2 linked regions of the Sus scrofa genome follow. The protein of the gene in region 2 interacts with the protein of the main gene of each other region in a pairwise test. Links are inferred from orthologs where the notes say so. Each region holds a gene or a part of one and is shown on either strand. Other genes may lie near its edges.

What was found.
Region 1: the proteins of POC5 (region 2) and CETN2 interact in binary tests that used the Homo sapiens proteins (3 or more experiments, as listed by UniProt). The link is inferred for Sus scrofa from reciprocal best matches to the Homo sapiens genes POC5 and CETN2.

Annotation. Positions count from the first base shown.
Region 1 is NC_010461.5:123,902,728-123,908,330, reverse strand, and holds the start of CETN2 (centrin-2), read left to right. Parts: upstream 1-2,284; 5' UTR 2,285-2,338; coding exon 2,339-2,437; intron 2,438-3,342; coding exon 3,343-3,501; intron 3,502-3,756; coding exon 3,757-3,885; intron 3,886-4,922; coding exon 4,923-5,060; intron 5,061-5,479; coding exon 5,480-5,569; 3' UTR 5,570-5,603. UniProt on the Homo sapiens protein: Plays a fundamental role in microtubule organizing center structure and function. Required for centriole duplication and correct spindle formation. Has a role in regulating cytokinesis and genome stability via cooperation with CALM1 and CCP110.
Region 2 is NC_010444.4:84,709,842-84,714,766, forward strand, and holds part of POC5 (centrosomal protein POC5), read right to left. Parts: intron 4,079-4,925; coding exon 3,873-4,078; intron 2,203-3,872; coding exon 2,026-2,202; intron 1-2,025. UniProt on the Homo sapiens protein: Essential for the assembly of the distal half of centrioles, required for centriole elongation. Acts as a negative regulator of centriole elongation.

The sequences.
Region 1 (5,603 bases), on a different chromosome or scaffold from region 2:
AATGAAGTAGGTTCGATCCCTGACCTTGCTCAGTGGGTTAAGGCTCCAGCGTTGCCGTGAGCTGTGGTGTAGGTCGCAGATGTGGCTCGGATCTAGTGTTGCTGTGGCTGTGATGCAGGCCAGCAGCTACATCTCCGATTGGACCCCTAGCCTGAGAACTTCCGTATGCTGTGGGTGCGGCTCTAAAAAGAAAAAAAAATTCTGAAAGCATCCAGTATGAAGAAAATACCGTATAAAGAAAATACAGTACGAAGAAAATACTCATTCAACAGATAAGAAACCGAGGATCAGAGAGGTCAAAGGACTTGGCCCAAAGTCACTTGTGGTCGCTCCTTCTACTCTGTCGCCCTGCAGACTCGCTGGGAAGTAGGGTGTAGAAGGACACAAAGAGAGAAGGACTAGTAGGGGCAAAACTACTAGTGCAGGAGGCTCAGATGCCAGGCTAAGTCTGGACTTTGGTCTGTAGTCATGGGGAACCTCTGATGAGAACTGCTCAATAGGAAGATTACCCTGATGAAGCAGCGTGGACTAGATAGGGGAGAAGCGGGGAACAGGGGGGCTACTCACCAGTTGTTCAACCAAGATTTAGTGAGGACCTAATATGTACCCTTCACTGATCAAGGTCCTGGAATGCCAGCAGTGAACAAAACAAAGATGCCTGCACCCATATGGCTTCCCTTCTAGTGGATGGGCAAAGAAGAACAAAATAAATAAGGATACAGTTATAAGTACTAGGGGATAAAAACAGAGAAAGGTGTAGGGTTTGGGTGTTCTGGGAGATGCAGGGCTAAATAGGATGCTTAGGGTGGCTCACTGAGAAGGTGACAGTGGAGCAAAGACCTGGAAGAAGGAAACAAGTAGAACAAACAGGCAGAAGAGATGGTTGGAACAAAAGTTTGAAGGCAGGAGTGTGTCCGTGCATTTGAGTCCATCAAGGAAGCTAGTGTCCTGGGGCTGGAGCAGCCAGGGGAGAGGAGGAAGCATGTTGGGATGGGCCTTGCAGAGCATGGTGAGAGCTCTGGCTTGTACCCACAGGGGGGCTGCTGCTGAAGGCGTGAAGTGGGACAGGAGCAACAGAGGTGGAAAAGAGAAAAGAAACACCCTTTAAGGAGGAAGCTGACAGAAAGTGGAGGCTAGTTAGTGGGGCCAGGGCAGGAAGAGTCAAATAGGACCAAAAGGTTTTGGACTCGGCTTGTGCTCAAAGAGGAAGAGGGTAAAGGGCAGAAGTTCGGCAAACATTTTCGCTTAATGAATGTCAATAAATCTCAGGCTTTCTTCAGCCTGAGAAACTTATGCTCTGTCCCCTGCTTCCCAAAATGCTGTGCCAATGCCCAGAGGTGAAGCAGGTAAGGGCTGAGAGGCAAGAAGTGCCCTTACACTGGGCTGGCTAAGGAAGGCAGACCTTGGACTTCCAGGGCCACTGTTCCAGCTCCCTTTCATCTGTTACCGTGGCACACGCCCCCTTGTAATTCTCTGAGCAAGCCTCACCTTTCCAAAACGGCTCTGTGACTTTGCTCATGAAGTGTCCCCACCTGGAATACTCCTCACTATCCGCCTTGAGTGTTTGGTTGTCAAAATGAGTATATTTTGATGATCTGTCCCCTTTATGCTCACTCAAATCTCCTTCACTCCCTTCAAAGGCCGTTCCTAGGCCCCCAGCTCATCTTCCCGAGCTGCTTTTAGCCAGGTGAGAACTAAAGTGATCCTATCTTGTTATCTATTTGGGGTGGGACGGACACGCCCAAAGAAAGAGCCTCAGGTGGATGAATTCAGCTTCTAAGTCCCAGACGTCCGAATTTCTGTGATAACGCCCGGCCTCTGCCTTTCCTTCTCCGTCTCAGTTGCCCCGTAAATACATCCTCTGCTCCAACACGCAAGGTCACGGTCTTCTCTGGCCCCTCTGACCCTAACTCAGTCTTAGTCCAGACCAGAAAGTCCCCGACCGGGTGAGGGCTTGTTACCTTTTCGAGCCCCGCGAAAGGCCCCACCCAATTCCTTGCCTTTCCAGTCCTATCGCCAACCCAAGAGCGAGGTCGCAACCCTTACCTGTTGGTAGGTGCCTCCCTGGCCGGCCTCAGCGCATCGGTAGCCTACAGCCTCAGAGCTCCAGGCGCCAGCAACCACCTGTTTCTCCCCACCCTTATGAGGCTACTATCAGCCGAGGCGCCTCCACCAAAGGGATTGGTGCTGGCTCGGCCAATCAGCGCTCGCGGTGTAATCCTGCCCAATAAGGCCAGGCCGCGCCACAATGCCCTGCGCCCTGCGTCAGGCCTCCGTCGGGTTAGTCCCACCCACTCCAGCACTGTGCCAATGGGGAGCTGCAGTCATCTGTCCTCCAATGGGGTGCAAGGCCGCGCGCAGGGGGCGGTGGGAAGGGCGCCGAGTCGGTGTGTACGTCCGTTGCCGTAACAACGGGAAGCGGAGTCCATCGGCGATGGTGAGTGCTTGTTACCCTTTCGAACCCTGTGTCCAGAAGCTGAGCCCTTCACAGGCCTTGGCCTGGCCCCGCCGTCTCTCCTGCGCGGTTCTCGGCTTTGGCGCACTCTTTCCTCTGAGCGCTTCCCGGAAGGGTAGGGTAGAGATCCTGGCCGCCCTGCTGGGCCTGCGATTAGCCGCTGCGTCCCATTCAAGCCACAGCTGGCCCCTATCCGTCCTTCGGGCTCCCCTGGCTCCTTCGGTGACCACCTCTGGTCAAAACAGACTCGGGCTCTTCGCACACCCCGACCACTTCCAGACTCTGGCCTCCTGGCCGCCTCTACCAAAGTTTCTACCCAGAGCCTAGGGGAAGTTTATTGTGTTTGATTGTTAATGTGCATTTAAAATGTTAAATATTGGGACTTCGGAAACGCTTTGACCTTCTTGGGGAAGGCTCAGATGTGCCGAGGGGATTGAGTTTTATTATTCGATATTGACAGAATATACATCTTAACTTAGTATTTGGCCAAATTAGAAGTAATCAGAAAATCTTATAACTTAGAGCGAAGCAGAATAGCGTTCTAAGGACATTTTTAGATTTAGGGTCCCAAATTCAGAGAGAGCTGATTATCTGTACATTTATCCAGAGTCAGCTCCTTGGCCAGCTCTCTTTTTAGATGATTTCAAATAAGAGATATCCAAAAGAACAAAGGATCTCCTTCTAGAAACAGTAGTAAAGAAGAGGGAGGGATAGAGGTGCAGAGAAAGAGTATTTGCTCTTTTCACTAAACGCTGTTATTTCTCCTGTTAGTTTTGGAATTCGTTGGTATAAACTATTTTAAAAGTAGATAGGATTGTAACATATTTATGTAAAATATGTACCCTATTACATAATACCGTGCTTCTCTGTTTGTGAAACATATAAAGGCCTCTAACTTTAAGAAGACAAACGTGGCATCTGCTGCCCAGCGAAAAAGGATGAGCCCTAAACCAGAGCTTACTGAAGAGCAGAAACAGGAAATCCGAGAAGCTTTTGATCTCTTTGATGCTGATGGAACTGGGACAATAGATGTTAAAGAACTTAAGGCAAGCCCTGTACATTCCTGCTCTGCTGCCTTGACTTTTCTCTGCCTCTTTCTCTTCTGTGCTGTTTTTCTGTCTTTATTTACCTCAAGTATTATTAAACAAAATTGAGTGCAAATATCAATTTGCTTAATGTTATAGTGTTTCCTAATTATTTTAACATGATTGTGTCAGATACTGGCTTAATGCTCTCAATGCTGTCATTTTTTGCCCCTGGGTTTAGATGTACATATTGAGATGATCCTGTTTTCATTGCAGGTGGCAATGAGGGCACTGGGCTTTGAACCCAAGAAAGAAGAGATCAAGAAAATGATAAGTGAAATCGATAAGGAAGGGACAGGAAAAATGAACTTCAGTGACTTTTTAACTGTGATGACTCAGAAAATGGTAGGTTAGCTAAGATGATGGGTGTATTTTCCACCAATAATGGTGGACAGATTTGAGTCTAGATATGAAAGTGTCTTTTCACCCATTGGTCCCTTTCTCTTTCATTGGCCTCCTGGCTCCTCCTCAGTGTGGCTCATGTACATTCTACTGGCCCGTGGAAAAGTAGCTCCATCAGTGCTTCAGCTGTGCTTCCCAAGGCACAGGTCTCTTCCCACTCTAATAATCCTGTTGCTTTGAAATCATCTAATCACACCCATATTTTTCTTCAGGGACTAAGTTAAGAGTTCAGGAAGCTTTTCCTCTTTTCCTCTGTCAGAGTACCTGGGATTCTAGTAACTCTTGGTGCTCTCATAAGTGAAATCGCCTTCTCTTTCCTCCCTGCTCCCCTCTGCCCCCAAGAGGATCCCAGCTTAAGCAGTGGAATTTCCTCTAAACTTAATCCCATCATCTGCTGCTGTATTTTATTTATTTATTTATTTTTTTGTCTTTTGTTGTTGTTGTTGTTGTTGTTGCTATTTCTTGGGCCGCTCCCGCGGCATATGGAGGTTCCCAGGCTAGGGGTTGAATCGGAGCTGTAGCCACCGGCCTACACCAGAGCCACAGCAACGTGGCATCCGAGCCGCGTCTGCAACCTACACCACAGCTCACGGCAACGCCGGATCGTTAACCCACTGAGCAAGGGCAGGGACCGAACCCGCAACCTCATGGTTCCTAGTCGGATTCGTTAACCACTGCGCCACGACGGGAACTCCTGCTGCTGTATTTTAAAAAGCAGTCTACTTTTCTCTTCCATTTGTATAGAAAATGTTTTAAGTGCAAGCCTTTATATTTCCTTCTTAGCCTCTGGGATTGTACCAATTTCATGTTTGTCCCCTCTCTCTACGCTGGTTGATTTTTGATCTTCTGTGACCTAGCACCAATGTCATGAGGCCATGTGGTGCTGTTGTGGCAGGGCAGAGGGGATGGTGCTAGGGTTGTGGGACACAGGTAATTATGAGTCTCTTTACTCATGTGTTTTTTATGTTCTACTTGTTAAGTCTGAGAAGGATACCAAAGAAGAAATCCTGAAAGCTTTCAAGCTCTTCGATGACGATGAAACTGGGAAGATATCGTTCAAGAATCTAAAACGCGTGGCCAAGGAGTTGGGCGAGAACCTCACTGACGAGGAGCTGCAGGTGTGTGATGTGTCAGCCTGGAGCCCTGTGTGGCTTTTCCGTGTTATGTTTTCTCTAATGCTTTGGAGGAAAACTAGCATTCTCTTGTCCCTCTAGTGACCATTTAATTTCTTTTTCAATAGTGTGGCAAACGTATGGGCGCTGCTGCCTCACGGATAGTTTTACTTACTATTTTAGGTTTTAGGCGTCTCCCTGGTCAAGATGATCTTCGAGCTCAGGTGATACATGTGTGGCAAAGGATGGCTGGGTTTTCAAATAACTTTTCGGGAGGCAAGCTATTATAAGAAGCAGCATCTTGTAGTGTGTGTGTGTGTGCGGGGGACTACAATTGTCTATTCAGGTAGCATTATAAAAGCCTATTATTTAGTCACATTTTTGTTTCATTTATGAATTCATCTAACTTGACTCCTGTTGTGCAGGAAATGATTGATGAAGCTGATCGCGATGGGGACGGAGAAGTCAATGAGCAAGAGTTCCTGCGCATCATGAAGAAGACCAGTCTTTATTAAGCTCGGTCTCTTTCCTACCGCAAGCACCTGGAAC
Region 2 (4,925 bases):
ACAGGGAACTACATCCAATCTCTTGGGACAGATCATGATGGAGTATAAGAAAGGGATTGTGTATATATATGTATGACTAGTCACTTGGCTATACAGCAGAAATTGGCACAATACTGTAAATCAACTATACAATAATAAAATATTTAAATTAAAAAAGAGAAAAGGGAGTTCCCATCGTGGCGCAGCGGAAACAAATTCAACTAGGAACCATGAGATTTTGGGTTTGATCCCTGGCTTCGCTCAGTGGGTTAAGGATCTGGCGTTGCCATGAGCTGTGGTGTAGGTCACAGACGTGGCCTGGATCCCACATTGCTGTGGCTGTGGTGTAGGCCAGCGGCTACAGCTCTGATTAGAGCCCTAGCCTGGGAACCTCCATATGCTGTGGGCGCGGCCCTGAAAAGACAAAAAAAAAAAAAAAAAAAAAAAAAGAAAAAAGAAAAAAGAAAAAAAGGTTACGTATATGAAAATATAATCATCAGCATTTAAGAAAAACAACCATACATTCTAGAGTTTTGTACATATACACAATGTTCTTATTCACTAAACTCAAGGGCAGAGACCAGTTTTCAAATATCTTTTTAGTCCCTAAATGCCTTTAGTATCTTAGAATAGAAATTTCTCAGTAACTGTTTAATGATTTTCTAGATTCAACAAACTCAAAAAAGCAAATAGTTAATAGTTACACTTTGATGTACTTTTTCAGTTATATTATTCTGTTCTTTAAAAAAAAAAATCTATGAAGACTTTTAAATCCTAAGATAATATTCTTTTTTATAAAGAACTGAGTAACTAAAATATATATCTAAAAATGGTCATATTAAAAAGAGATTTAGTAAATTAGGCATATTTATTGAGAGACATTTATTCTAGTTCTTTAAATAATTTTCAAAAGTGGAAAAGGGCAAAAATTCTAAAACACCAGTAATATTCTATTTCTTAAGCTGTGTGGTAGCACATGGCTGGTTCACTTTGTTTTCAAAAATTGAACTTGTATGTACACTTTTTTTTTGTGGGATATTTTGAAATAAAAACATTAAATTTAAAATATTTAAAAACCTTAGGTCAGGGTTTTGAAAGCAATAGAGAAAATGAATGACATTAGTTTCTATTGTTTCACAAAAGCAAACTGTGTAAAATATTCAATTTTACATTGCCCCCCACAAAGGATATTAAAAACTCCATAATCTTATCTAGTTCATTAACACAATGAGGGCTACAACTGCAGACAAGGAGCTGAGGTGTCTGCTGTGGGTCCCTCTTTTCTGAAAGCTATCATCCTCCTGGGGGAGCTACAGATTTGTTGCCCATCTGCTTTCTTCAAGATGCTCTCCGGGGGCACAAAAATAGCACAGACTTGAAACTACTCTCAAATTCTTAAGAGGCTAACAGAAAATGAAATAAATGCTGAAATAAAGGACATCATGAATGAATAAAGACTTAGTATAGATAGAATGTGGGATATTTATGCCCCTCTAAAAGGATGGTTTAAAATGTAGGTAATGCTGGAGTTCCCATCATGGTTCAGTGGTTAACAAACCTAACTAGTATCCATGAGGATGTGGGTTTGATCCCTGGCCTCGTTCGGTGGGTTAAGGATCTGACATTGCCATGAGCTGTGGTGTAGGTCACAGATGCGGCTTGGATCTGGCATTGCTGTGGCTGCGGTGTAGGCCAGCAGCTACACCTCCAATTCGACCCCTAGCCTGGGAACCTCCATGTGCCTCGGGTGCAGCTCAAAAAAGACAAAAGAAAAAAAAATGTGGTACTGTTGGAAGAAAAGGAAGGAAGGAAGATTGAAAAGAAAAAACTAGTGTTCCCGCATCGAGCATGCACTCAATAAAGTGACATGAGCCTGGCATATTTAATATAAAGAATAAATCTTATTTCTATATATCTATTGGTCCACCAGTTTCTAAAATGATCTACTCTTTGTATCATGTATGATCTAAACAATCAGTTCCTGGTGTTTACTACCTAGCAAGACATTTACTGAATCAGTGAAAAAGCAGTTATGAAAAAGAAGACCTCATCTTTTCTCCCAATGGAAACTTCATAGGCTTTCTGCAGCTCCTTCAAGCTGTTGATCTGGTTGCACAGTTGTTTCACCTCTGCTGCATGTTTTTCTTTCTCTTTTTTCATTTCCATTCGGTGCCAGTCAATAAAATTAAGTCTCCATTTACTTAGTTCAGATATGATGTTTGTCTGAAAAATAAATGTACCGACAATTAAGTTGCTTGTTCCATAATACTGCTTCTTTAAATGACACTGAAGTTAAGAAATATTTTTTAAAAATCAAAACATGCACTCAACATCAGAGCTATTTTAAAAATCCAATAATGAAAACATCTACAAATTCAATAGTCACAGCTCTTCTTAGTTCATGCACCATACTAAGGACATGATTTTTTGCCTATTTTAAGTTACTTTGTAAAAACGGTCCTAAAATCTCAGTGTCATTTAAAAAATTTAGGTCTCATTCATTAATACACATGTCCTTCGTTTATTCAAAGACTTAAATGCCCATCTTAAGGTGGATCAGAAAACAAAGAAATGCAGGACTAGGGCGTCATCTAGATGGAGAAGAGCAGAAACTATTGGAGTTGATACTTTCTTCCTCCAAATCATTTATCACAATGGCCATCTTACAAGTTGCTAAGTTTGATCCCTTTTCACCCTACTGACTGGCCTAAGTAAAAGGGCCAAATAACTGTGCTATCAAAAAACTAGATAACAGTATGTGGTTAACTTGAACACAGGATAATTTTTAAATGGTTGGTGGTACACAATTCCAATAACTTACACCAGGACTAGAAATATGAAACCTGTTCCATGGGGGAAAACAAATAGAAATTGTACTAAAAGATTGGGAGTTCCTGTTGTAGCGCAGCAGAAACAAATCCGACTAGGAACCATGAGATTGCGGGTTCAATCCCTGGCCTCACTCAGTGGGATAAGGATCCGGTGTTGCCATGAGCTACGGTGTAGGCTGCAGACCCAGCTCGGATCCTGTGTTGCTGTGGCTGTGGTATAGGCTGGCTCCTGTAGCTCCGATTCAACCCCAGCCTGGGAACCTCCATGTGCCGCGGGGAAGGCCCTAAAAAGCAAAAAAAAAAAAAAGCAAAAAAAAAAGAAATTATACTAAAAAAAGTACTTCTAGAATTTAAGGTTCCATATAATGGAGAAATATATGTAAATACCACAAAACTCTTTTGACCATAATTTCTCCCTGTGTGCGAATACTCAGTTTTCTCAAACTATGTTTCAGAAAAACTGTTGTTTTCTCTACCATTTTTTAAATAGCAAAAAAACCGCCATTTCTGTAATACTTTGTTTTATTTAGAGGCTACTAAAATCGCCAAAATAAAAATCAGTTTTTATTGATTTATTGGTTATATTCTGTGGTTGCTAGAAGAGTGGCTATAAAGAGAATATATGTTGCTAAAATTGGGTCTGCACTTCCCCTTAGTCAGAGCTGCAATGTGGGAGAGGTTCACAGGTGCCTCTCTCAGTCACACATAGGCCGAGCCTTTGGAAACATCTGAGAAGGTCAGTGGAACATGCAGACCTGTTCCAGCAACTATTTAAAACCCTGCTCTTTAAAGTATGGTTTCTGAACCATCACCTGGGGGCTTGTTAAAAATGCATCATCTTAGGCCATGGCCAAGGCCAGCTGAATAAGAAGCTGCAGTTTAACAGAATCACCAGGTGATTCACTTGGACAGTAACAACTGAGAAGCACAGATTTAATACACTGGACTGAATTTTTTGTTTTTTTAAAAGCTTTTTAATTCAAAGAAAAACAGACTAAATAGTGGAATCAAGAGCAAAACTGCTACACTACATATTAGATTACAATCAAACAAGTGTAATACCTTAAGCCCTGAACTCCAAAGATCAAGCACGTTTTCCATCTTTTGAAGGTTTTCATCAGAAATAAGAAAATCGCTCACAACAATTTCATGGGCATCTATAGGACTAGAATGAGACCCTGGTGAGGAAGAGTCAACTAAAAGATTTGTACTGAAAAAATCCATGACCGGGTGAGGCGGCTTCCTGGGGGATGACACTGGTGATGAGCCTAGAATAAAACAAAAGTTGGAACGGTCAGCTAAAATGAAAATAACCCAAATTGGCAAGAAGTTATATTGGAAGGCTAGAAGATGTCAGTTATCTATGGAGGCTGAGGAAAACATGGAGAAATGGCCTTTCAGTGTCCTTAATCTGGTTATTTTAAACTTTAGTGTTGTCACAGATTTAAAACTCACCTCCCTCCCCCATCCACAAATGACCTGTCTCCAAATAAAGATGGTTTGTATATCTAGGTGTAGCCTGAGTTCAAAGTGTTATCATCCACATCATCATATCAACAGTTACTAAGTGCTTTCTATGTTCCTGTAGTAAAAACACTATAAGATTAGCTCTCATAACACACACTACTCTAAGAAAAAGGTATTATTACCTCCATTTCGCTGATGAGGAAACTGAGGTTTAGAAAGGGTTAAGTAACGGACCAAGGTCAGACTAACTGTACATAGGTCATTACTTTATGCAAAACAATGGGGTGGGTTTTAACTCTACTAACATTCAACACTATAAGAGACTAAAAATTTAGTTCATTAGACAGTTGTAAGGCACTCTGTTAGCCTTCAACATATAGATGAGAAATAGATGCACTTCCACCCTCTGCCCATGAACATGGGAGGTAGGAATGAGAGCCAGAGCCAGAAAGAGAACTGGCATCTATCTTTAAAAACACAAAAATAGAAAAGTTGCTATTTTATCACACATGTACACTGGAATTAGAGACTATTCATCATAATTTCTCATGTATCTCACTTTTGTTATAAGGGCTCTAATAACCAAGACTGAAGGGCTTTCCTCTTTTCCTTACTGAATGAGTCAAAGATAAATCTACTGTAGAATTT